Mytilus edulis: one gene and its partner. The protein of the gene in region 1 interacts with the protein of each later gene in a biochemical or structural test. Links are inferred from orthologs where the notes say so. Each region holds a gene or a part of one and is shown on either strand. Other genes may lie near its edges. The genes, in order: protein slit-like and roundabout homolog 1-like.

What was found.
Region 2: the proteins of protein slit-like (region 1) and roundabout homolog 1-like form a complex in vitro, tested with the Drosophila melanogaster proteins (2 studies listed by BioGRID). The link is inferred for Mytilus edulis from reciprocal best matches to the Drosophila melanogaster genes sli and robo1.

Annotation. Positions count from the first base shown.
Region 1 is NC_092347.1:16,748,016-16,761,360, reverse strand, and holds the start of protein slit-like, read left to right. Parts: upstream 1-6,700; 5' UTR 6,701-6,998; coding exon 6,999-7,180; intron 7,181-9,080; coding exon 9,081-9,152; intron 9,153-10,741; coding exon 10,742-10,813; intron 10,814-12,894; coding exon 12,895-12,966; intron 12,967-13,345.
Region 2 is NC_092348.1:87,628,246-87,641,254, forward strand, and holds the start of roundabout homolog 1-like, read left to right. Parts: upstream 1-6,532; 5' UTR 6,533-6,645; intron 6,646-13,009.

The DNA of each region.
Region 1 (13,345 bases):
CTAAAAGTCATGTACGTTCGTACAACAAAGTAAACATTAAAAATTATATAATTGTCCCGAATAAACAGCTGTCATGGATGCAAAGAGCTATTGGAGAAACAATGATTTTAATAAAAATATAAATCTTTGTAAGATCTAGTTCAAATATTTTTCACTTGCTTTCCATCACGATATAATTAACGTGACGTTTTTTTCAAACACAACCAAATCACCCACCATGACAGCATTTTGTCCAATCACAGAAAGGATTTTAGAGCATGCGTATTCTGTTGCCATAGTTAAGCGTCCTTAAGTTCAAAGGGCACAAACCGAAACTATACCGACTACGTCGAAAAACAATCTTTAATTATCTAATTTGAAGCAATCGGGTATCAAACACACGGCTTACTTCATTCGGAGTTGGAAAGCTATCATCACGTGGAACAATGCAGTCCAATACGAAAGGGGAAAGTGATGACTTCTATATTGAGTACTGTACAATATATACATTCAGACAGATTATCAACCAAATCTTGAAACTTCATTGTATCAGCATGATGATTAGCATAAGCAGTAATACTGAAAAAAACCTCCATATACGTCCTACCGTATAACAATAAGGATATGTGTACCATACGACTCTAGCAATAATGAGGGCCCTCATGGGGTTTTTGATTATGTGATTACTTGGTCGTTTTTTTAATGATTATTTGATTATTAAGCCAAATATTTCATGATTATTTGATTACCTAGGACTGTATTTTTAGTTTATGATTATTTGATTACTAAAGATAAGCAAATATTTAATGATTATGTGATTATATTGGCAAAAAAATGGTGATTATGTGATTACTAGGACCCCCCCATGAGGGGCCTCAATAATAGCAGCATAATTCTATCAAAAAAATCTTATCAATAGGTAATAGGACATTTTCATAAATGAGTTACATTTTCTGTAGTTAGAAGGACTTGTAATAGGAAAACGCGATGATTCTGTTTTAATCAAAGACATTATCTCTATATGTACATGATAAATTTTATACCATGTTCAGTGCGCACGGCGTCTGTTTTGAAGGAAAACTTCACTGGGTACCCTCGACTGAAAATACAAAAAGGGATCAGTATACATGCATCCTTGCCTAGATTTAAACTAATTCAGCTTGACACGGAAAACTCTACACTACGATTTGTCGTTCCCTATTGTTTATTTTCCTTTTTGTGCGATGAATATCTTTTCTACCATCATGCGGTGTTTGATATCAAAACTCGTTCGCTCGTTCGCTATACCCGTGTCTGTTGTGACGTTTTGGATTTCAATAAACGTATAGTAATCTATGTTTTACTGGTTAATTATTAATTCGGGGATTTCGTTACAAGTTACTTAAAAACTTTACCAAATTCTTCCATAGATATAAGATTTGGTTTTGAAGTTATTTTAAACGGGATAGCACATCCTATTTTTTACGGAGATCTATGTTATTTACCGAGCCCGTAAACTTAGAAACGATCGGGTAAACTTATCGATCCTTTTGATAAAATTATTCTTAAAGGTTTCAATTCAACACTGTTCTTATATCACTGATTATTATTTGTATTTGTAGTAATATTAATTTTTTTTATTAGTAAATCTAAACAGTAAAATCACAAAAATACTGAACTCCAAGAAAAATTTAAAACGGAAAGTCCCTAATCAAATTGCAAAATCAAATGATAAAACACTGAACATCAAACGAATGAACTACAACTGTCATATTCCTGACTTGGTACAGACATTTTCAAATGTAGAAAATGGTTGATGGAACCTGGTTTTATAAATCAAACTAAATATTATCTTATATCGTATGCAAATTCATGGTTACAATATGTCGATATATGTATCTTTGCACAAAGTCATGTCTTTTCTCTGACTGTTAATGACGCTTTTACACTTTATCTATTTAATGTTGGATGTGTACTGATCGATATGGGGTCCTAAATTTTAGTCCTAGATGCATGATTTTTTACGAGCCGTCAACTTTTGTCGAAAAAGCGAAACTAAGCGATCCTACATTCCGTCGTCGGCGGCGTATACAATTATTCACTTTGTGGTTAAAGTTTTTAAAATTTGAATAACTTTCTTAAACTATCCTGGATTTCTACTAAACTTGAACAGAAGCTTGTTTATGATCATAAGATAGTATCCAGAGGTAAATTTTGTGAAAAAAATATCCTGTTTTCCCATATTTTACTTACTTTTTCTGCCAGTTAACATAACAGTTAACATAACAGTCACTCTGTGGTTAAAGTTTCTAATATTTGAATAACTTTCTTAAACTATCATGGATTTCAACCAAACTTGGGACAAAAGCTTGTTTTTTATCATAAGATATTATCCAGAAGTAAATTTTGTAAAATCCTTTTTCTCCGTATTTTACTTATAAATGGAATTCTCTAAAACTGAGTTTTACTGTGCGTATTGTTGTGCGTTTGTTTTTTTCTACAGATAGAAGTAAAGGGGAGGGTTGAGATCTCAAAAAACATGTTTAACCCTGCCGCAATTTTGCGCCTGTCCCAAGTCAGGAACCTCTGCCCTTTGCTAGTCTTGTATGATTTTTAATTTTAGTTTCTTGTGTATAATTCGGAGTTTAGTATGACGTCCATGATCACCGAACTAGTATACATATTTGTTAAGGGGTCAGCTGAAGGACGCCTCCGGTGCGGGAGTTTCTCGCTGCATTGAAGACCAATTGGTGGCCTTCGGCTGTTGTCTGCTCTATGGTCGGGTTTTTGTCTCTTTGACACATTCCCCATTTCCATTCTCAATTTTATAAGGTTTTTTTTCTGTCAGGTATAACATAACATTAACTATAGTCTGTGTTTTTTTTTGCTTTTTTTTTTATTTTAATAACTTTCTTAAACTATCCTTGATTTCTCCCAAACTTGAAAAGAAACTTGTCTATGATCAAAAGCTAGTCTCTGGAAGAAACTTTTGTAAAAAAAATGTATTTCCTGTTTTTCTGTACGTTACTTATATTATGGACTTCCAGTTAACATTACAAACAGTCTGCAGTTAAAGTTCTTTAAACGTTTATTAGAGTCATAAAGGAGACGAGACACTGGGTTCCGCACAACCCTTACAATTTTTGTTTATATTGGTTGTCATTTGCTTTCGACTAGCTAGCTAGCAGTTACTGTAAGCACTATCAAATCTGTACTTATAGTGTCTTTTTGTTTTGGGATGTAAAGGTACCCTGCCACGTCAACTCTGCGTTTTGTTAGATGTATTTCTATTTTGCATCCATCTGGAAAAAATATATAGTTTGATCTTATGTTTTACTGTTACACCACTGTACCATATTAGAAAGGGTAGGTGCTTTTAATTTAACCCGTCACATTCTATTTCTGCCCGTCCAAAGTCAGGAGCATGTAAATCAGTGGTTGTCGTGTGTTGCTGTGTTATATATTTGTGTTTTGTTCATTTTTGGGGTACATAAATTAGGCCGTTGGTTTTCTCGCTTCAATTGTTTCACATTTGTCATTTCGTGGCCTTTAATTGCTCACAATGCGGGTACTAGTATTGGCTTTACTCATTAACCTATAGTTGTTCGATTTGTGTAATTTTGTCCCTTGTGCAGAGTTGTCTCATAGGCAATTATACCACATCTTCTTAATTTTATTTAAAAACATTTGCGATCGTAAAACCAATGTTTAAAAGACCTAAACAAAATAGTCCAAACTACATACAAAGGGCATATTTCGCCCTTATGAGTTGCATCGATAGTTGTAGTAACATAACACCGCCCTATTCAGTAACAGGGGAAATCAAGAAGTAAAGATATGTACTTGTAAGTCTCCTTGCTTATATAGTGATGAGCATCAAATCTAAGTTGAGGACAGTATTGTGACAAGCGTATAAACATAAATAACAACAAAATAAACATTGGGGGACAGTTGACCATTATCGATTGTCACCCTAGGTGAAGTTTTGTCATGACGAATGACGGTTTACTGGTCAGTGGACAGTTATAATGGTCATCTTCATCAAATTAACAAATGATTTACAGATACAATAAAATAATTGTCGTGTGAAAGGCCAACACCTTGTAAAAGTTGTAGGAGTTCGACAAGTGTATTCAATTGTCAAAAAGTCAATAGACAGACGAGTCGCTGCATGTACAATGGACGTCTGCTCAATTGGTTTCTATATCTTATCAAAGTACTCATTGAAGATGTCTGAAACAGTAGATTTTACCAGAGACATATATACACATATTTATATTTTTCATATTTTACTCATAAGGGTCGACTATATGACATATCACAAATCCATTACACATAAAAATTGGCTAAATAAGGGATTAAGATAAAATGCACATACAAATACACTGTTTTGGGGAAACTGTTTGACGGACATAAGCATCATTTTTGCAATTATATAGATAGCATAAAAGATAACACGTTTAAACTAGGGAAGTAGTCTGTCTTTTGTTAAACTAGGGTTTAGAATTAATAGTATTTGATTTATCTAGTCTCTCAAAAGTAATCTCGTCTATCTAAAATTTGATATTTTGATTATTAACAGGAAGTGTCCGAATTTCATTTTTTTTTATTGCTGAAATATTTAGTTTTTCCTATTTTTTCTTCATTTGTAATTATTTTAAAAAAAACTTGTATAAGTACAACTTGGGCCTTGCCTTGCATGTTAGTCAGACTGCTCAGCTATATGAAGTTTCATACCCACCCAAATCAGTACAAAATACTGATTTTGAGATTATATGGGTTCAGTGCATAAGGTTGTGTGTCGATGTAAAATGTAAACAAAGGAACTATATTTTACGACTGTTCGTTTATTTTTTTGGTATTATTTTTTTTTGTACCGCATTCTCTACATCTAAGACAAAACATGCTTTTCAGGGAATAAAGCAACATAAATCTACCATCACCAAGAATTTGAATGACCTCAGAGAATGATATAAATGGTCACAACAATCTTCATTTTTTTCCTCGTAAATTTAGTCTTGTACGAATTTTTATTTTTGCATAACAAAATTTGTTTTACCGTAGAAATCTCAGTATTTCATTATAAGACTGGCAGAACACTAAGGGAGATACCACGACAGATCAATGACAAATGAAACTTTCAAATTTCTATCCCATCTGTACTATAAGCTCGTCTAAATAATGATATTGCCAAATGTAATGTATGTCCATCATATATTTTAAAGAATACCGATAATGGACAGATAAACCATTTGTTCTCGTAATTAGTTCATTCACAATGTGTTTTTCTTGTATAACAATCAGAGCCGACGATTTTTTTGTCTTATGGCTGACATCGTTAGTGTCTAGTCCTGGACAGTTAAGACTAATTGTTTCCTCTCACGTCAATTACAGCATATTGTAAATGAGTCTTTTTCTGGCAGTTGAGTCCCCCTCGTTAATAAATTATATCCAACTATGCTGATGTAAAACCGAATAAGATAATATACTATAATCGATGCTGCTGCAATTTGTTTGTCTTTGGTCAGAAAATTTGACCAAGTATAATACCCAGAGATTTGGCATTGTATGCACATAATTGGGAATAGTTACATGCACATTATATAGACACTAGGCTGTTCAAAGATAAAAGCACAGCTAACATTATATTTATTTACTTTTAATTCACCCTAAATCCAACGAATCCACCGATGTTTTAAAAGAGGGATGAAAGATACCAAAGAGACATTCAAACTCATAGATTGAAAATAAACTGACAACGCCATGACTAAAAAGACGAAGTCAAATAAATATATAACACATTATATAGTTATAATTATTAACTAATTCCTCAAACCTCGTTTGAACAGGCATACGTTCGTCATTCCAAAGGAATCTTTTTGTCAATTGTTAGTTTTGTTATAAGAATATCTCATGAGAAATGGTGTTAATTCCTGTCATCTTTCTTATTCTTAGATTTGAGACATTAAGTCTGCGGATAGCGTGGAGTGTTGTTGTCTCATGGGGTTCTAGATTTCAGTATGTGTAGATCTTATATGTATTATAATCCTGCTTTTTTTCTCTGTTTTATGCCGATAAAATGTCAAAACTTACAAATAGAATATATAGAAAACATGTTATGGCATTCCAATTTTTAAACAACGTCGATATGCTACAAATATGAAATACTTTAAATTTTGCATCGATCATAAAGCGTTTTGTTAATTCGAACATATCACACAATTCATTTTGATTATTACTAGCATTACAGTTTTTATGCAACGTGATTATTATTTTTTAAAAATGCAGTACACATCAAAAATATTATATAATTGAGATTAACTTATACACGTAAGGCTATTTAGTATCATAAAAACTTGTTTCTTTTTATTTACATTTTCTGTCTACATTTCTTTTTCTTTTGTTTGACATCTTAAATGGAGGCTATAATTACAAAGTGTTACGGTAATTTCGGTCAAATACAAACTTCTTTTTTCTGTACGTTTTCTTGTAATTATAACAACATTTACGGAAATAAAGTTACTGTCCTTAGCCTTTATCAGACAAAGACATTTTGGTAATTGAGCTAATTGGTACACAAAAAATTTAAGAGTCGACTCGTAGAATAATACCATATGTATGAATTCATAATTAATAATAAAAAAAATGCAATATTTGTTTTTGATGTGGTATATCACCTGTCTAAATTGCTACCGGCTAATTTCATTGGTGTACGAAACAGAAAATAATCCCGCCCACCCCTGACTCGTGGAATGGATCATACCTATGTTAGTGTAATCACTGGAGTAGGGAGTTTTTGTGAAAAATTATAAAAATATGTTTTTGTTCTGATTGTCTAATGGATTATTTTTGATTGGTGAAAGTGGTTTGAAAAATTGAAGAAATTTATCAAATACCTCGTGGAGCAATTAACTTAAAGGAATATCAAGTTTAATAGTCAATACCTGAGTGTTTAAAGGGCTAGCCTTGCAATGTGATTGATTTTGTTGTATACTAGGAGTTTAAAATTTTTGTGAAAAATATAAAATATTTACTGTAAAATGGGAGGAAGACATCCATTCAAGTACCGATTTCATTGGATTTGTTTAATTAGTTTAATTGTGTATTTAGAAAGTGTTCTAGGATGTCCTACAGAATGTGTCTGTCAGGGTAAAAATGTGGATTGTAGTTACAGAAAACTGTCATATGTACCTACAAATATTCCAAAAGACACACAAAAGTTGTAAGTATTATGATTTAAAAGATAAATAGTGACGTATTGGGGAGCTTTTCGTATATTGTTCAGTTTCAGTGGACACAGTTTGTGTCTACAATTTTATTTGACAACGAATCGATCTAATTTTATTTCTCAGTTTCTTTTTATTGCATTAGCGAAAACCCTCAAACCATACGACAATTGAAGCTTTAATATTGTCTACTTTTGAGTTTGAATGTCCCTTTGGTATCTTTCGCCTCTCTTGTAATGCTAATTGCCTTCAAAATACTACCTAAGCAATAACAACTGTTAAATATAGATATAAAAGTTTTAATATAGAGACCTTGTTAATGTATGTCAGATTTACATATTTACATGTACATCAAAGGCAACATGTACGTTGTGCAATGTTATTTTTGTCACTACAGGAAATCCAACTATCCATTTGCAGCTTAATTGATTTTCGAAAGACAATTTTTAAATCTCTGTTTCATCTCAGTTTAAAACAATACCCAATCACACAAGGAATATCACGAATGCATTTAAGAAATTTTAAAAAGCCCTTTACCGATGGAAAAAAAGTTAAATAACAAAACTCTGATTTGGTAGAGGCACCCAAATCCATTCTATATGTTTATGATCTACTGAGTTTACAAGTTGCTCAACTTGCTTATAGTGCACACTTTTACAACGACCTTTAAGTATATAAACTTTTGAAGTATTATAATTCTATTATACATTCTGCACCGGATTTGAATTAAATTACTGTACATTTCAAAGTATACGCTTAAATAGAAATTAATCCGTCTGGGTTTATTGATATCAGTAAACCTGCATAATTCTCGTTTAGTGATTGTCTTATCTGATACATATCACAAAGAAAACAATCTTAAGTCAATAAAGTAATTGAGATATTTTGTTACTCCATGTTTTCACACATTATCTAACGGGCGACGGACGACTTTAACGTGACGACGTTGCCACAATGCTACATGTACATGGCCAATGATTTCTTACATTCAGATTAAACATAACAAGCCTATTGTTACTTCTATGGGTAATACCGTATATTTAACATACACAAACTGATAAATTATATATTGAACTATATTGACGTGGACATTTGTCTGGTAACCCCGGAAAGGTGGACGATATGTATAGACAAACAAGCAACAAACAATTTTTATTTTAAAGTATAATTTCATGTGATGTTCATAATTGAAAAAAATGCATTCTAAAGACATGTTTTGCTAAAAGCCTTTTTCTTAATGTTTCGTTAAATTACATGCAATACAACTATACCTTGTAAATATGCAGGCATTTTATATAAAAATCACTGCTAAATGATATCCATAAAGGAGCATATAAAATAGATATAGCATCAATGGAATAAGATAAATCAGGTTTGAAAAGCGACTGATTTATTTTCATACTAAAATTGATTTTAATGGACAAATATATCAGAGTACAAATTGTATGCAGAGACATATATACGTCTCTGTTGTATGTGAATTCTTAAAAATTCCACTGCAAAAAAAAAAAAAAAATACCCCAAGAGAGCATAGTATGTAAACAAAAGTCACAGAAGTTCAGTTAGAACAAAAGTTATGGTTAGCAATATCCAGGGATTCTTGTTATTTTCACAATTTTGTCAAACAAACTATATGAGTATTTTTTAACAATTCACTAAACACGGTATCAATGGTAAAATATTGGCAAAAAAAGTGCAATGCATAACACTGTATTTCTTTCACGACAATGACCAATTAACGTTTTATCCCTACAGGCAAATATCTACAGGCAACCTTTACATCTACATAGGTATTTTTACAATACCTTGAAGTTTTACTCAAATACGTAGATTGTCCGCCAAACTCAGAACATATTACTGTCACAATATTATAATGTTTGTTTTATTTTTTTACAGAGAACTCCAAGGAAACAATTTGACAATTATGAGAAAGAATGATCTCCAGGGTCTGAGACAATTAAAAGTATTGTAAGTCATCATACATCGGTTCTCTTTAGATGAATAGACATGTGCAAGTCCTCGTTTTCCGTTAAAAAAATCCCGATTTATTTTACTCGAATAATTCATTTGATAAATTTCAATCGGAGAATGAATGCAAGAGATGCTTTCAGCTCAAGATTATAATCAGTTGAGTGACACAAATTAAAATATATATCAAGACCTACATGTATACATTTTATATATCCTTTTGGAACCATCAGGGTTAGCGTGCAAAACCCGAAACAAAACCACACTTTAGCTGGGACTATTTTATTATAAGTATAATAGTGTCACACTTTTGGAAATGATCGATTCTGTGAACTCTGTATTCCCATTTCTGCTCGATCACACATCAACTTGCATCTTACGAGTTGCACTATATGTCTAAATCTACTTTAAGCCAAGAACAATTGATCGAAAAGAGGTTATATTTCGGCCATAAGAATTAAACAAACATTTATATTTACATTCGGTAATCCGTCTTTCTTCACAGGTTATTTGACAATTTCTGAAGTGATATGCTAAATATAAAATCTTACATCACTTTGCGCTTTTACAAAAGAAATAGATTTGGTTTTAACACCTTCGTTTTATAACCATTAATTCCAACACAAACAAACCAAGATATATGGATTATTAGCGGCAATTAAAGTAAATTTCAAACACTGATACCCCAAATGGGATTTAGAATGAAACAGCCAAAACACGAGGAGATCGTCAGCTTTTCCATGATAGTTGTCAGTTAAGTGTATCTGTACATATGTATCGGTATTGTATTATCGACGCTAAGTCAAAGCTCGTTAATATCTTCCCGATATGTAAAGGAGTTATCCTCAGAAAAGATATAAGAAGATGATATTAGTGCCAATGAGACAACTCTCTATCTAAGTCAGAATGTATGTTTACATATCAATTAAAGAAAAAACATAAACCTTGGTGTGGAATTTTGTTTCAGAATAGAAATAATATTAAGTCACGGTTGCATAGAATATTAATGATTCCTCCAGACCCCACTGTAATCAACAAACTCTGACTTTTTATAACGAGGATATCATGTCTTAACATTAATGTGCATAGCGTAGGATACAAATCTTCATTTTATGATCTAAAACTTCCCTGCTTAATATGACTTTTTTTTAAACCACCACATCGAACATTCGACATCAGCTGTTGAGCACCGTGTACTGTCTTCGGAATTTTATATAGTACTGTATATGTCATGTGTAAATGCCACTATAAAGAAAACTTGCAGATATTGTGTCTTCACAAAGTTAATACTGTTACTTTCATTCAATCTGATTAAAATATTGATCTCTGATTACGTTATACTACATATGTAGTATAACGTTGACTTTGATTCCGAATTAGGTCGTAATTATGTGTAACAGTCTTTTTTTTTATCAATAAGTTCTAAAGCTTTTGTTTAAATCGCTCCCTTTCGCATGGCAAAGCAATTATGTATCTTTATCTATATCAGAAATTCTTCTTTTTTCTCCATATTTAACAGATCTACCACCCATGCAGATTAAAATCGAACTTGGATAAAATTTCATTGCACCTTTATTTTATTTTTGTAGGCAATTGTTAGAAAATCAAATCCAGACAATAGAAAGAGGCGCGTTCCGTGACCTTGTCCTCATGGAAAGACTGTAAGTACAATAAATTCTGTGTATGTACTTTTAAATGGGAAATAAGAAAAAATACAAAAAAGTTTAAAATGCATGAACTTAAAAATATATATATATATTTATGAAAGCAACAATATGTTTGTAGTTATTGTAGTATAATAGTCCTTAGTATTATAGTCCCAGGCCTAAGGTAAAGAATTAAAAAAAAAAATATGTACAACGTTTGAAATTTCAAGTTCGGACTAAAACAGACACTTTCTCTGTATTGCAATGCTGTTGTACATCATGGGAAAGCCTTTTTGCTGCTGGCGAGTGATAAATACGTGATAATTGAAAATTAAACAATTTGATTTTTGACAAATTTACGACTTTGATTTGTACATCAGATAGCCGTAACCCTGAGGGCTTTCTATTCATATCACTAATTTTTATAAGTAATTAGATTATGATCAAACGATTGGTTAGACAACGTAATTTGGTGCTAAATCTTTTTGACACCTGGATAAAAATTCCACGGGCATTTCAAAAACATAAGTGGGCAGACATTGTGACTACAAATTATCACAATAACGGTCTTTTCCCGGAAAATTATCGTGTCCATTCAATGATAATTATACTTTTAGTTTAATGACTTCCGGGTTACTGCATTTGTTCGACCAGAGACATATCGTCGCTGTTATGCAAAAACCTCGTATCTAAGGTTTTCATAATTTTACACCAGGCAATAAAAACTGATTTTTTTTATCGATTATTTAGAATTAAATATTTATGTTCCAATGTATGCAAAAATATCGTATCTTCTAACCAATCAATTACCAAGGCGAGCAAAAATTTCTGCACCTATATTGTATTTTCTAAGCTATACATAATATATTAGACAAAACTGAACCTGTTATAATCTCAGCTGCTAGTGCCATCTTTTTTTTCTTTTGAGATATGATATTTTCGCACAACAAAATGTCTCACCAATCCGACTACACTTTTTCGTCACTTGTCAGAATTCGGGTTAATGATTGGTTAGAAGATCAGATATTTTCGCATTCAGTGGAACATACATATTTAATTCTTAATAATCGATAAAAAGATTTCCGCAAAAAATTGAGATACGAGGTTTTTGCATAACAGCGACGATATATATATATATATGTGTGTGTATATATGTCTCTCAGTCTGGTTCGACTAAGGAAATTAGGAAAATAACATTTTATACTATAGAGCACACTCACTTGTTTTAAAACTCTTAACATTTTATTTCTGTCAAAAATCCAATGCCTAACACTATAAATTCAGGCACCAGGGGCGGATGCAGGAATTTTCGAAAGGGGGGGTGCTAACCCAGGGCAAAGGGGGGGGGGGGGTGCAGGGGGGGTGCAAAACATATGTCCCGATACAAATGCATTGATCGGCAAAAATAAAGGGGGGGTGCGCACCCCGGAACCCCCCCCCCCCCCCCCCCCCCCCCCTGGATCCGCCACTGGGCACATTCATTTCTGTATACTCCACTAAAGATTGGATAGTGCGGGTAATGCCGGTTTTCTCATCACGAATTTAAATAGTTTTATCAGAGACTTGTATGTCTCTGGTTTTATAAAGATATGCACTAGAGTTGCGAATCTCTTGTACTATATATATGTCTCTGATTAGTCCTAAAATTTATGACGACTTGAATTTTAAAAGGTTATTTTATTTTTTTCTGTAATGCCTTCCTAATTATCATAGGCGGATCCAGGGGGGGGGGGGGGCCCTGGGGGGCCTGGGCCCCCCCTTTCGTAGGAAAAATTTGGTTGATTATATAGGGAATCACTGAAGCATGACTGGAGCGGCCCCCCCTTAGGTCAGTCAGCGGGCCCCCCTTAGGTCAAGTTCTGGATCCGCCACTGATTATTTGGACTAATCCTGAATATGGATGAAATATTTGCCACTGGACATCAAGATAATATTGATTAATCACTAAATCTTCGGTTCTATGATGCTACTGTGTTAAATAACTATCTGAAAAGTGAATGAAAAAAAATTATACATTAATTTCTAGTGCCCAGATTAATATAGATCTTCTATCATCTTAGACAGTTATGATTACTTTCAAAATTTTATATCCGCAGGAGAATAGACAGAAACAAGCTAGACAATATCCCTGATGAACTGTTCTCTGAAATGCCAAACTTGGAGAGATTGTAAGTAGAACATTTTATATGTTTAAAAATTTGTCATGCTTGTGTGCACAAACATTATGTCTGCTGGTTAACATTTCAGCAGATATTAAGTTATTTGCTTGAATTTAGTTGAGAGGGAAAGTAGAAGGAAAAATTGAGAATATGCATTTATGAAAAAAGATATCTTGGGGTCAACATTCACTACTACGGTCTTTTTTGTTTTAGACAAGTATATAATGTATATATGTCAAGCTCTTAACCAACTCTAAGTCTACAAACGTCAAGTGGTATAATTCAGTCTAAACTATATAAAAAGATAAATTTATATCCTTGCTTCATTTTCTGGTCCATGTTTCTGAATGTTCAATGACAATGATTTTCAAGTTATAGACCATCATAT
Region 2 (13,009 bases), on another chromosome or scaffold:
CTGTACTACTGTACAATCTCCAACAATGAGAAAAACTCATACTGTAAAGAGAATTTCATATTTACAAGTAAGTTTTGTTTTTGCATTGAATAATTTTCTTCTATTGTCTTAAAAGCAAATATGGGAAGTGGTTAAAATGCTAATGAGACAGCTTTTATGGCCACCAGATGTCATTGTTACCTTGATTAAAAACTCCTTTTTAGCTCACCTGACCTGACTCATCACTTGGTTTCGTCGTCCATAAACTTTTACAAAAAATCTTCTCTGAAACTACTGTGCCAAATTTAACCAAACTTAGCCAAAATCATCATTGCGGTATCTAATTTAAAAAATGTGTGGTTAGACCCGGTCAACCAACCGAGATGGCCACTATGGCCAAAAATAGAACATACAGGTAAAATGTAGATTTTGGCTTATAACTCTGAAACCAAAGCATTTAGAGCAAATCTGACATAGGGTGAAATTGTCTCTTCAGTGAAGATCTATCTGCCCAGGAATTTTCAGACAAATCTGACAACCCGTTGATGGATTGCTGCCCCCAAATTAGTAATTTGAAGGAAATTTTGCAGAGTTTGGTTATTATGTTAAATATTATTATAGATAGAGATAAACTGTAAACAGCAATAATGTTCTGCAAAGTAAGATCTACAAATAAGTCAATATGACCAAAATTTTAAGTTGACCCCTTAAAGAGTTATTGCCCTTTATAGTCAATTTTTAACAATTTTCATAAATTTTTGTATTTTTTGTTAATTTTTAAAAAATATTTTCAACTGTAAATACTGGGCCATGTTTATTATAGATATATCTATAGAGATAATTGTAGCACCAAGAATGTTCAGTAAAGAAAGATCTACAAACACATCCCCATCATCAAAAACACAATTTTGTCATTTTATATATGTCCGTTGTTTAATATGCACATAGACCGTCCAAGGTGAGCGACACAGGCTCTTGAGAGTCTCTAGGTCATTAATACAGGTAGATAACTTTATCATGTTTATACTGAAAAATAATTTTGCTTGGAGGGAGAATTTTAAAAAAGTTCTGTCTTCAAAAGAGTTGACATGTTACTATGTATTTCCCTGGGATATGTTTTCCTTTGCCGTGAAATTCTATCTGGGTAGTTAACTTATTGAATAGTTATTAGAAAAAAACTTATCCTTCAAAATACTATGAAATAATAATAGTGTATTTGAAATAAAGCGAAATTGTTACAAAAAAAAAATGTATTATAATGAGAAATAATTTCACAAATTATCCTTGAAAAAATTTCCTTAAATATTCAAGTCAATATCATCCTTTTAAAAAAGAAAATTATCATGAAACATAGGGAAGAAAACCAGAAGTAATTTCAAAGATCGTAATTGTGAAAATGATATCATGATTAAATAAGGTTAGTGAAATACCGATGAAATAATATCATGATTAAATAAGGTTAGTGAAATACCGATGATGTAAAAGTGAGTTGTTTTCAGATCTCAGTACAAATATACATTTAAAAGTAAGGTAGAAATATAGTTGCATTACTACTGTTAACAGTAATAGAAGAATTTGATTATGATGATATTTTTAACTATATAAATAGTTTTGTCTGGAGACAGAGATGTAGTTGTTGATTATATGGAAATCAGATAAATCATAGCATAATAATATATTGGAACAAAAGCATGTTTAACAGCTGGATAGTTTTTACCTGTGAAATGTTATCTGTCTTATAAAATCAAGTTGTAAGTCATCTTTTTATATAAATGAATATATAAAAAATAAGATTGAAGGAAAAATTTCACTACAAAATAGATTCAGAAATATATATTAATATCTTTAAAATATAAATTGCTCATAATTACCTCCCTTTGATAAATTATGCAAATTTGGTCTACCTTTGTGAAGTATTTTATAATTATAGTCAGGTATATATTGATTGTGAGTAACTTACATAGTAGTTAATGGGACTCTATTTCACACGGTTCTGTGAAATATAGTACGGCAAATATAGACCGGTACATACTATCTGCATAACACAGATAGATTTTCACTCCTCTGGAAAAAATCAACCTGTGAAATACCATGCCTGGAAAAAAATTACCGGGACAAATTATCCTCAGGATAAAATATCACAGAGGAAGAAATAAACTGTTACACATTAACCATTATGTTACTTGATGTTCTAGCAATACACACAGAACGGAGACTAGTCAATCTTTGTGAATTATTTTTCATAGGATAGGAGTAATTGAATATGTGTATATAATCAATAATTAAAAATAGTTTTATTTACATTAAAAAGGAAAAGTTCTTATGTCTTAAAAATGCATTTCATGGCGAGGTACAGAAAATATACAGTAAACAGTAGACTATAGATATAGGTGAACTAGGTACAAGAGAACTCTAAATCTTAAATACTACAAACCACCTCTGTTCTATGTAAGATAATGATATAACTGGACTAGAAATACACACAACCTGTAATTAACTGCCTTTACAGCGCTTTCGCGCTTTGATTGATGAAGTTGAAGTCTAATCAACTTGAAACTTAGTACATATGTTCTGTATGATATGATCTTTCTAATTTTAATTCCAAATTAGAGATTTAACCCCATTTTCACGGTCCACTGAACATAGAAAATGATAGTGCGGATGGGGCATCCGTGTACTGGGGACACATTCTTGTTAGACCTGAAAGGAAACTATACTAACCTTACCAAGCCTCAATTTTTGTGCCTCCTTGCAGGTTTTTTTTTTAACCATTTTGAAATGAAAACTTATACAAGTTTAAACAATGTTCCATCTGGAATTTTGAAGAGTGAGATATTTGCCTACCATTTGTGACTAATTTTATTTTATAACTGCCATGAGAAAATGGATATTGTTTTTTTGCTCATGTAAGAAATATGTTATAAACAAATTAAAACTGTATTAAAAATGTGTTAATCCAAATGTAACTTATAGCCTACAGATAGAAAAACATCGTGTAAACTATGTAGTTATTGTCAACCCTTTCATTAACTTAATGCATTTGACAATTTGCCTCCCCATTTTCAATCAAGAATGAAATACTTCTAATGCATATTATGACTTTGCAAGTTAATAATGTCAATTTCAGTGGAGGGTTCCTCATTACCTAACTGATAAACCTATTAGAGTTTAATATTAACAGCAGAAAACATTTTACTTGAAAAATCGGTACTTCCTGCTTAAAAAGCCAAGGGCGGAAAATCATGTCATTCTGTACTACTATTTAATTTGAAATTATGTTGAACATTCCCGTAAGCTTACGATAAAAAAATTATCGTATTTAATTTTCCTGATGGTGATCTACTGGAAACATTTTTTATTTGAGTTTAAATGGAATAGTAATCATGGTTTGAGGTGATTTTATAAACATGTTTGTGGTAGAGCAGGGTTAAACATTTTGTTTTAAGGGTTATATATGCAGATTATTATTGCTTGATTCCTTGATAAATATATAACCTTAAGAGTGAACAAGAAAATAATAATAAAAAAAAAAAAAAAAAAATCAATTGTATTTTGAATGACTTGTATAATAGTTGAATTGAATTGAACTTGAATAAACTAGAATTTTGAACATGGAAATTTATTGTTCATGTTTCAAAGTAGGATTTCCATATTTTTTCTCTCATAAGATGTTTTATTGACTAGCTTATAGATGTTGTAAAAAAAAAAAACTAAAAAAGTTTCAACTAAATGTGAAACTGTGCATAGTGAACTGATTTTGCATGATTTTAATTTTTTTTCCAGCCACAAAACTCTAAAAATTTATCAAAAAGACCAGATTTACAGCAAGGATCTGGAAATGTTTCCACTCAATTTCTGCCATGAGATAAGTTCAAAGTTGGTGCAAGTTTCACAAACAAAATTGTTGAAATCGCACTAGATTCATAGCAGTTATCAAGAATAGTTGAGGGAAGGCAACAGTTTAAAAATGAAACAGTTCTAATGACTCAAAACGGTAAACTTCTTGGACATCACTAACTCTAATGATTCAGCGCCCTCTATCTGTCAGTGTCCTTGAGAAAAGTTCTTTGAAAAATGAAAATTCTCTAAATGTGGAATGTTATCAAACAATTTGTATCAATATTTAAAAGACTTTAGGCCCCACAATAAAATTGAATATGCTGTCAAAATACATTGACTGTATTGATTTACCTGTTGCTGGAGTAAATACAAATGATTATTGATATAGATTCTTTAAGAGTTAAATGAGTATGAAAACTGTTGTAAATAGACAATCCCATATATTCAGGCAATAACCTAATAAAGTAGAAATGTATTAAATACAACAGTTGGGTCGGTATAAAAAAATATGACAAGTGTAAAAATGGACCTGTTGGTTCTCACGCCTCCCTTGTCATATACCGATACATCTTTCCTTCACAAGATAAAACCTAATTAATAAAATCTTCAATATGAACAATTCCATTTATGTACTTTGTGGCCAGAAATATGACGAGCATCGTTGAATGAATCAATCTGACAGATTCTATTATATATGTTCTGAGTGAGTAATCGCCATTCTGATTACTGTGTCCAAATTGAAACGATACTATCTTTATGCATGATCCTGCCACCACGATATAACCTTCTTATAAATATACATCATTTTTTGTGTTAATCCGGGCAACAAGAGGGCATTTCTTCCAGTTTCTCATTTAGACAGCTAATTTATAATTTCCGCTTGTTTTGCTGATAATGTTTGGGAATTAAGTTTGGTTTATCTGTGTTTTCCTCCCAACTATCATCAGCTGATGATTTTGTGATTGATTATTAATCAATGACTCTACGTCAACGACACCCTTGATTAATACAGTACACTACAATAGTACTAATGTCTGTATCCTTTGTCAATAGTTTGTATACACCCTATACTTACTGATGTTCTATTCTACTCTGACCTTTGTGTTGTGCCAGTTATTATTGATACAGAGAACTGTCAGTATAATTTGTCTGAAATGAGATTGGAATTTCCTCATGGTTTGTTACATATTAGATAACATTGTCTGGCGGTATTTCCATAGATCAAATGATTGGTCAGTGATAGGATTGATTGATTAATAAGTTTGCAAATTGAAGAAAAATTAGCTCGCCTAGTTTGTATGGAATTGGTTAAGGAACCATGTTTGTTTGGTTACAGAATGAGAGATAAGAGTTTATTAGTTCAGGAGGAGAAATAAAAGGAGAAAAATTGTTCCATGAGAACATTTAACAAGCCTAATACTAGATTTGATGTTTTAATCAGCAGAAAACTTATACAAAGTTGCAAATGGATTATACTCACTTTTTTGTGTGTATGCTTTACCGTTTGTATATCTATCCACTTATGAATATGTATAAGGAATATGTGTTCCACCCAGCCTTAACATTCTTGCCACAGTACACTTAGTGTAATTCAGCATAATATACTTCAAATAGTGTTGAACAGTTCAGTCTAAATCAGGATGATATCTGGTTTCTAAATCAGTAAATGTGCTAATCAACTTATTTAAAAGAATTATACTCCTTGGAAAAATTAATTCTATAGAAAATAGCATTGTAAGTGCTCTCTTGAGTACAATACTTCCCAGATATTTATGAAATTTATATTGAAGGTTAATACAAGAATGTTTTGATCAGTGATTTGTACAAGATTTCTGCCCTTAATATTGTAAATTCTATAGAAAAATGTTAGTGCCCTCAAATGTCCAATTATTGCCAGATAACAATAATTTATATCAACAATTTATATCAAGAATGTCTCAAATGATTTAAAAAATCAGCACTTATCAACCATTTTACATGATTATTCCCTTTAGAAACATTAATTTCATAGAAAATGACAATGTAAGCACTCTCACACCTACATTTCTTTGAAGGATTGTTATGTTTATATCAAATGTTAATACAACAACCTGAGTTAGTTTTTAATGTGCTAGTTCACAGGGTAACAGACTGGAGAAAGACTTGTCACCATTCTTGGACTAATTATTCCAACTGAATCATTCTTTGGTCTTACTTTTGTTGCCATGAACAGACGACATCAACCATCAACGTGGGACACCTCTGAAATAGCAAACATATAAACAAAGACAAACAACATTGAACAACACGTGTGGACAAACTTGGTACAGGCACAAAAGTTGGTGCTGTTGATTAAACCTGTTTTATGCATAAACCTCCAACTTAGACTTTCAAGTTCCATACGTCACAAAACTTTTAACACAATAAAAATCATTCACATTAAATTTACTAACATGATAACCAGTAACTGGAACAAGAAAATAAAAATGGCAAATAATCTAGAAAGCGGGAGCAAATGAATAACATGTCTGTAGCGAAAGAACTAAAACTAGTTTAAATATATATCATTTACCAGTGTTTTAATTTTGGTTTACACTACAATGTCCGAGAGGTATGGTGAGAAATACTGCCTGGGACTGAGTTTAAAAGTTTAAAGAAATGACACAATATGGTAATGTTGACCAAACTTGGTGAAGTGCTTGATCTTTGATTGAGATTGATCTCTTTATAATTTCAGGGTTTTAGGTCCAAGGCTTAGTGTGAGAGAAATTGCCTGAGTCTACATCAACCTCAGAAGAATGTATATGAATAGTTATGGATGAACCTACTGGGTAAATAGAGTTCACGGTGAGAGGTTAAGGGTCTTATAAAGATTACAACAACTTGCTGTATAGTGCTTGCTTGTTAAGTACAGAGTAATTTTGCACATATTCAAGATGAAATTAAGATGAGATTTCTGAAACAAAACATTGACAAATGCAGTTCTAACTTGATTTGATTAGAGTTATATGATATGCAATGGCATTGATTTGGAAATGGCTTTCTTACAATTTTATGCTTGGTAGGTTTTGTTAGATGTAAGCAACTTTAGAAATTGTCCAAAAAGACATATTGTCTATCAAACAATGTGTCTATAGCCATTAAATATTTGAATGTTGTTCTCAGTAACTGTTAACCAGAATTACGTCAGATTTTGTCAACTGCTTCACTGTGATGATTTGCAATGTGTCAGGCGTTTGAGGATCTGCTAAACACCTGATTCCTGGTTACTGATACTTTAAATTAGGAGTTTTAGTATCAGTTAAGCAACTTATTGTATTATTCTAAAATTATTACAGTGTTTTGGGATAAAAAATATAACAGTGGTTATTTTAAAGTTTCCACTTTGCTAGAACTATATTCTCTGACCTACTGTACATTAATTGTAGCACACTCAAAGTTCTGTAGCTTCATTTATTTTTCGGGAATGAAATAAAGTTGAATTTTGGTGGATATTTGATTTGTGTTTTTACAAAAGACTGAATACAAGTCAATAGACAATTTGTACTTGGTTGACCTTTTAAATCTGTGGCTCATATATACCAACAAAATCCACCTATTTAATTGGTATCCAACTAGCAATAAACAGGGTTCTCGCTAAGGATTTTTGAAGGCAAGTCCAGGGATTCATCATTTTTAGCCATGATGAGTCCAACAGAAAGAAGAAAATATTTTATTGCAATATAATGTAATATTTTAGTCTCCATTTCCTATTCATGCTAACACAGCAATGAAATGACATTAAATTCAGATCACTTTTAAACTTTTGCTATAAAATGATGATATTTGTGTTTAACTGTGTTCAGTTTATACAAAATATTTCAATCTTGATGCATCTGTGGACTCACCAGTTTTGAAAATGGTGAAGCCAGACAGATTTTGATGAGTCCAGGACTCATGGACTCACCTTAGTGAGAACCCTGAATAAATCCACAGTACCATATATTCCAATATTCAAGTAATAAGCAAATTGATTAATGTACTAATGGGATCCACCATTTGTTACAATAACATATCCAAATAATTTTGTAGTAAACAATTACCTTTATTTGATCATAAAACAAAATTGTATATGATATACAGTTAATTTGTAAAAGTCATATTTTCATATTCTGAAATATTAACTGCTTCCACAAAAGTCAGATTGTAATTTGATTTCTTGTAAGGGAATTTCATGCATTGTAACTTTCATTCTATTTTCACATAGGGTAGTTATACAAATAACTATAGCTATGATACTATCTCTAATGAAATTAAAAGTCATTATACAGGTTGGCGGCTATATAAATTAATTCCCAGCGGAAGTTTAGTTGTCATTACGATATCATCAATTCTCTAATTGACTATTTATGATTATCCCCCTTCCTTATCAAATAATATTTGTAAACCATCACATTCGCTAATCGAATTTAGTTCCGGTTATATTTGATAGATATGCAATTTAGCTTTCGTCTATTTGGAATAGAAATGTAGAACAACTTGAAGCAAGATCAGCTCCATCATTATTTTTTTTATTTATTTGAAATGTTGTGAGATGTGTAAATCTTTATAGATAGTTACATCATATAAAAATCTGAGCAATGTAACTTAATTTAAATCACTGGTTTTGAGATGAACAAAATTTTATCTGAAGTACAATGTAAGATTTTCTTGAATGATTCTCGAGAATGATTGAAAAAAAATCATTTACATGTGTGCAAACAGTCAGTTGGTTTCATTTATTGTTTGAAAAAAAAACTTGAATGTTTAATCTTCATATAACTACAAGAAGGAAGAAATACCTTTCTAGTTGATCAATGTTTGTATTTGAAGAAAAAAAAATGTAATGTATATGTAACATAGGATAGAAAGAAATTGTTATTAAAAAAAGTTATTTTAATGACTTATAATTATTGTTCAGTAGAAGATCATGTAATATTTGCCACTGGATGATAATCAATCCAAAATCACTATTGTTCAGTACTAGTTGTACAGAGCAAGGTTGTCCGCGCTCCAGACTTGCCCTAGTCCTGCGTTTATTATTTATTGCCGAGTTTATGAGCTTCGATCCTTACTTGGAAGTTGACAAGTTGTACTTACAAAGATTGTTTCTTTTTATGGTAAACTCTTTCACTCTATTGTTTATTATTTAAAAAATTAGAATAGGATTTTTTAGGGTATAATGCGAAAGATCAAAACTTTTTAAATCTTCTGTTGCATTTACTTCAAGGTAAATAGGGTCAAATTTATGCTAGAATGACTAGACTATAAATAAACAGAAGAGGTTATAATTTTCATGTTTTTATTATCCAATTAACTTACCTGTCCCAAGTCAGGAGCCTGTAATTCAGTGGTTGTCGTTTGTTTATGCGTTACATATTTGTTTTTCCTTCATTTTTATTTACATAAATAAGGCCATTAGTTTTCTTGTTTGAATTGTTTTACATTGTCTTATCAGGGCCTTTTATAGCTGACTATGCGGTACAGGCTTTGCTTATTGTTGAAGGCCGTACGGTGACCTATAGTTGTTAATGTCTGTGTCATTTTGGTCTTTTGTGAATAGTTGTCTCATTGGCAATCATACCACATCTTCTTTTTTATATTTACATTTAAATTGCAGTCTCTGTGCCAATAGATTGTTGCAAATTAAGTGGAATGACAGAGTTATATGTAGCTGTTGTTGTTTTGATTTCTGAGCTGTATTTTGGTATTTGTTCAGATCTCAGTTACTGTCTCAATTTGTTCCAGTTTTTACCTTTTCTGCATTTAAGAGATTGAAAGTTGTTATAGCATTACTTTTTGAATTTTCAGATTAGAATTCTAATTACTTGCTTGAACAGCATTAAATTTAAAATATCCCATTTTAACTTGGAAGTGACAGTGAAGAATACTGTTCGTGTGTTCTCAGTGGGAATAAGATTTGTTTCATTGTGGCTATACACACAGATAGAAGGTTAACTATATTCTGTGTATACCATGATTTTAGAATTTACCTGTCTGTCTGTCAGGGTTAACCTGCCCTTGACCTCTTTTCTTAGTTAATTGTAAATTGGTAAATGTAATGTTTTCATACTGACCACTTAGCTCACTGGGTTTATATTTCAATGCCTGCCCCTTTGCTGCCTGGGGTTACACAAGGCTGCTCCAGATAGTAGAGTTTCTGGTCTCCAGAGGATTTTTATCAGGTAGTTAAAGTAAAACTTGTTATCTGAAGGTTCAGGATAGTACATGGATGATGATGGTATGACACTGTGTGTTACACATTTCTTGACGTAAATCAAGGCCATGATGATAATTCATCAAACATGTATTTACCTTTGTGCTTTGAGTGATAATTGCAACAGTAATTCATATCAAATGTAGAATTATACAAAAATGTTGGAAGAAATTTGTTTACTGGAATGTTCTCACAACATGAGAAAATGTTATTTTATTGTCATTTGCCACCTAAAGCATTTATCACTACAAAGTTATGTAATGTAATCACAATATCGGCAGATAAATGACTAATTTACCAAAAAAGTATACTTCATTTAATCATAGATGCATTGATTGGAGCACAACAAATTGTCAAAACAGATAGATTACTCACATTTTTTACGGACAGAATAGATTCATTATGATACTTTTTTGTTCACCAAAGAAAAAAAACCACAAGACAATGCTAAAGGCTTTAGACCTCATTCTGACATTTAAATTGTCATATGTTTACATATAAAGTTGCAAAATATTTAGAAATATTGGCAAAATCTTATAATCAATGCTAAATTTGTTTCAAAAATGCAGTTAGTAATTGAATGGATTTGATTTTTTTTCCCAACCTGAATCATTCATATTGTTCAAGAATAGAACATAGAATACACCAGTTTTAAGGAAATCCTTTAATTGCTATAAATAAGAATAGGAAGAGAATTATCTCTCGTCTAGCTATAAGAAAATCTAGTTAAATCGGCACAATAAACAGTAACCTTATTACACCCTTCCTGTCATTTTCTATTTGTTTCCTACATTTTTTTCTACATTGATTTTTTAATCCACTTATTTAAACCAAAACATAATTATATTTTTTGGACATCTGGTAAATGAGAAAAGTAAAGATTTTTTGTTTACATTGTGAGCCACCTTCTTTTAGAAATCTTAAAAGAGATTTCTGGTTGAAAAGATGTTTTAACGAACAAAAGCTATAAAAGTCCATTGGTGAATGAATAGTGAAGGAGGTTTAAGGGATCAATTTGAAAGGTTACATTTAAGCGACTAATAACTGAAGTGGACAAAAAGATTTAATTTTGTGTAACAATCATTGATTTGGCTAGTTTGAAAGCATGCCACCAGCAGGAGATTCATCAATCCCATTGTATGCATTTAAAAGTTTTTAAGCTGAAAGTTGTATTTTCCTAATATATGACATGTGTTACATTTTTAGACGCATGCAAACTCTGGTATTTTGACAAGAATGAAAAATGTTGTGCTTAAAAGGCATGCTGCTGCACATAAATAGAATGACATAAATCATAAACAGTCTAATGTAATGACCTTTAGCATAAAATGGGTGTTTAAGACCTATAAAGACTGTTTAATGATACATTTCAAACAGAGTCCGATTGTACTTTCCGCAGTATGAAGGGTAAGAAAATGTATATATGTATAAAACATCTTCTTTATAATTTTTGTAAAATGGGTATTAATGTTTATGTAATAGGGATCATCAGACAGGATAAAGAAATTGTACTAAGATACCTTATAATTATATATATATATAGGTGCATTATAGTACAAGTTGAAAATAAACTCATCATAGATACCAGGACTAAAATTTTACACTTACACCAGACGCGCGTTTCGTCTGAAAAAGACTCATCAGTGACTCTCGAATAAAAAAATGTTTAAAATGCCAAATAATGTACGAAGTTGAAAATATAACAGTTTTCAATATCATTCAATGATTTTGTGGAATATTTAGTGAACTTTTTATTATTATTTTTACTCTGATAACTTATGTGTAAATTATACCACAAAAGATACAAAACATTATATACTGTATTCATCATTCAGTTGCCAGTCTGAGGACACATATTAGATAATACACTCGTACCTTTAGACCTCACTGGAAACTGCCTCACTAAAATTACTTTCATTGAGGAGACTATTCTGGAATTGGGATTAATAAAGTAGTCTTTTTATGGCTCGCAACAAAGTTATTGGTGCCATATAGTTTTACCCTTGTCTGAAATTCCGTAATTCCGTCATTCCGCAACAAACCCTTATACAGATTTTTTTTTTTTACGGGGCCATTCATGTCGCTTTGACATATCTATTTTTTCTTAATATCAAATTATACTACATGGAAATGCCAAGAGGTAAATAAAAAATCACAAGTTGAAGAGAGGCAGACAACACATTGATTGGTCAAATGAAAATAGAAAAAAACGATAAAAAACAAAACCCAACTGTTCATAGAATGCTACACAGAAAGATACAGGTTGAGCAATACCAACCCCCAAACGAAAACTGGGAGTAATTTCAGGTGTTCAGAAAGTTAAACAGATCCTGCTCTTCCCTTGATTACAGTCATGTTAATCATGGCATTACAAATTGTGTGATACCTTCACCATAGAGAATATCTGAAAGGAGGTATGGATAAAGACGAAACATTTGGAATGTATCCTTGATATCATTGATAAAGAATCCATAACTGTTAATAAATCTTGATAGTGTTAACAATAACAACTCACAAATAAGTATTGCATTTTTTGAAAAATCTTCTAGAAAATCTTGCTGTTTCCCAATGAATATACACTTTTAAGTCACATGCATGAAATGAATTAAAGTGTTTGATCTCCATTTATTTAATATTTCAAAATAAAAAATGTACACTATCAAGTACTGTAGATTCATTATTATTTGTGAGGTACCGATTTTATCAAAATTTTTATGGAAATACAATCAACCAAGAATTCAAATCTATAACAAAATATCAACTTCCTTCAAGTACTGCAGTGTATGCAGAATTTTTGAAAACCACAAAACAAAAAAATCTGCATTAATCAATGTAAGTTGGTACCTGTTAAAATGAATGAATTCACAGCTTCATTAATGTCAAAGTTGAGGGTAATTCAAATTTTTTTTCATTTTTCTGAGTTCTCTTTTTTGTTGTTGATTTTGAAATCTTTTATTTTTATATTTTTTATGTTGA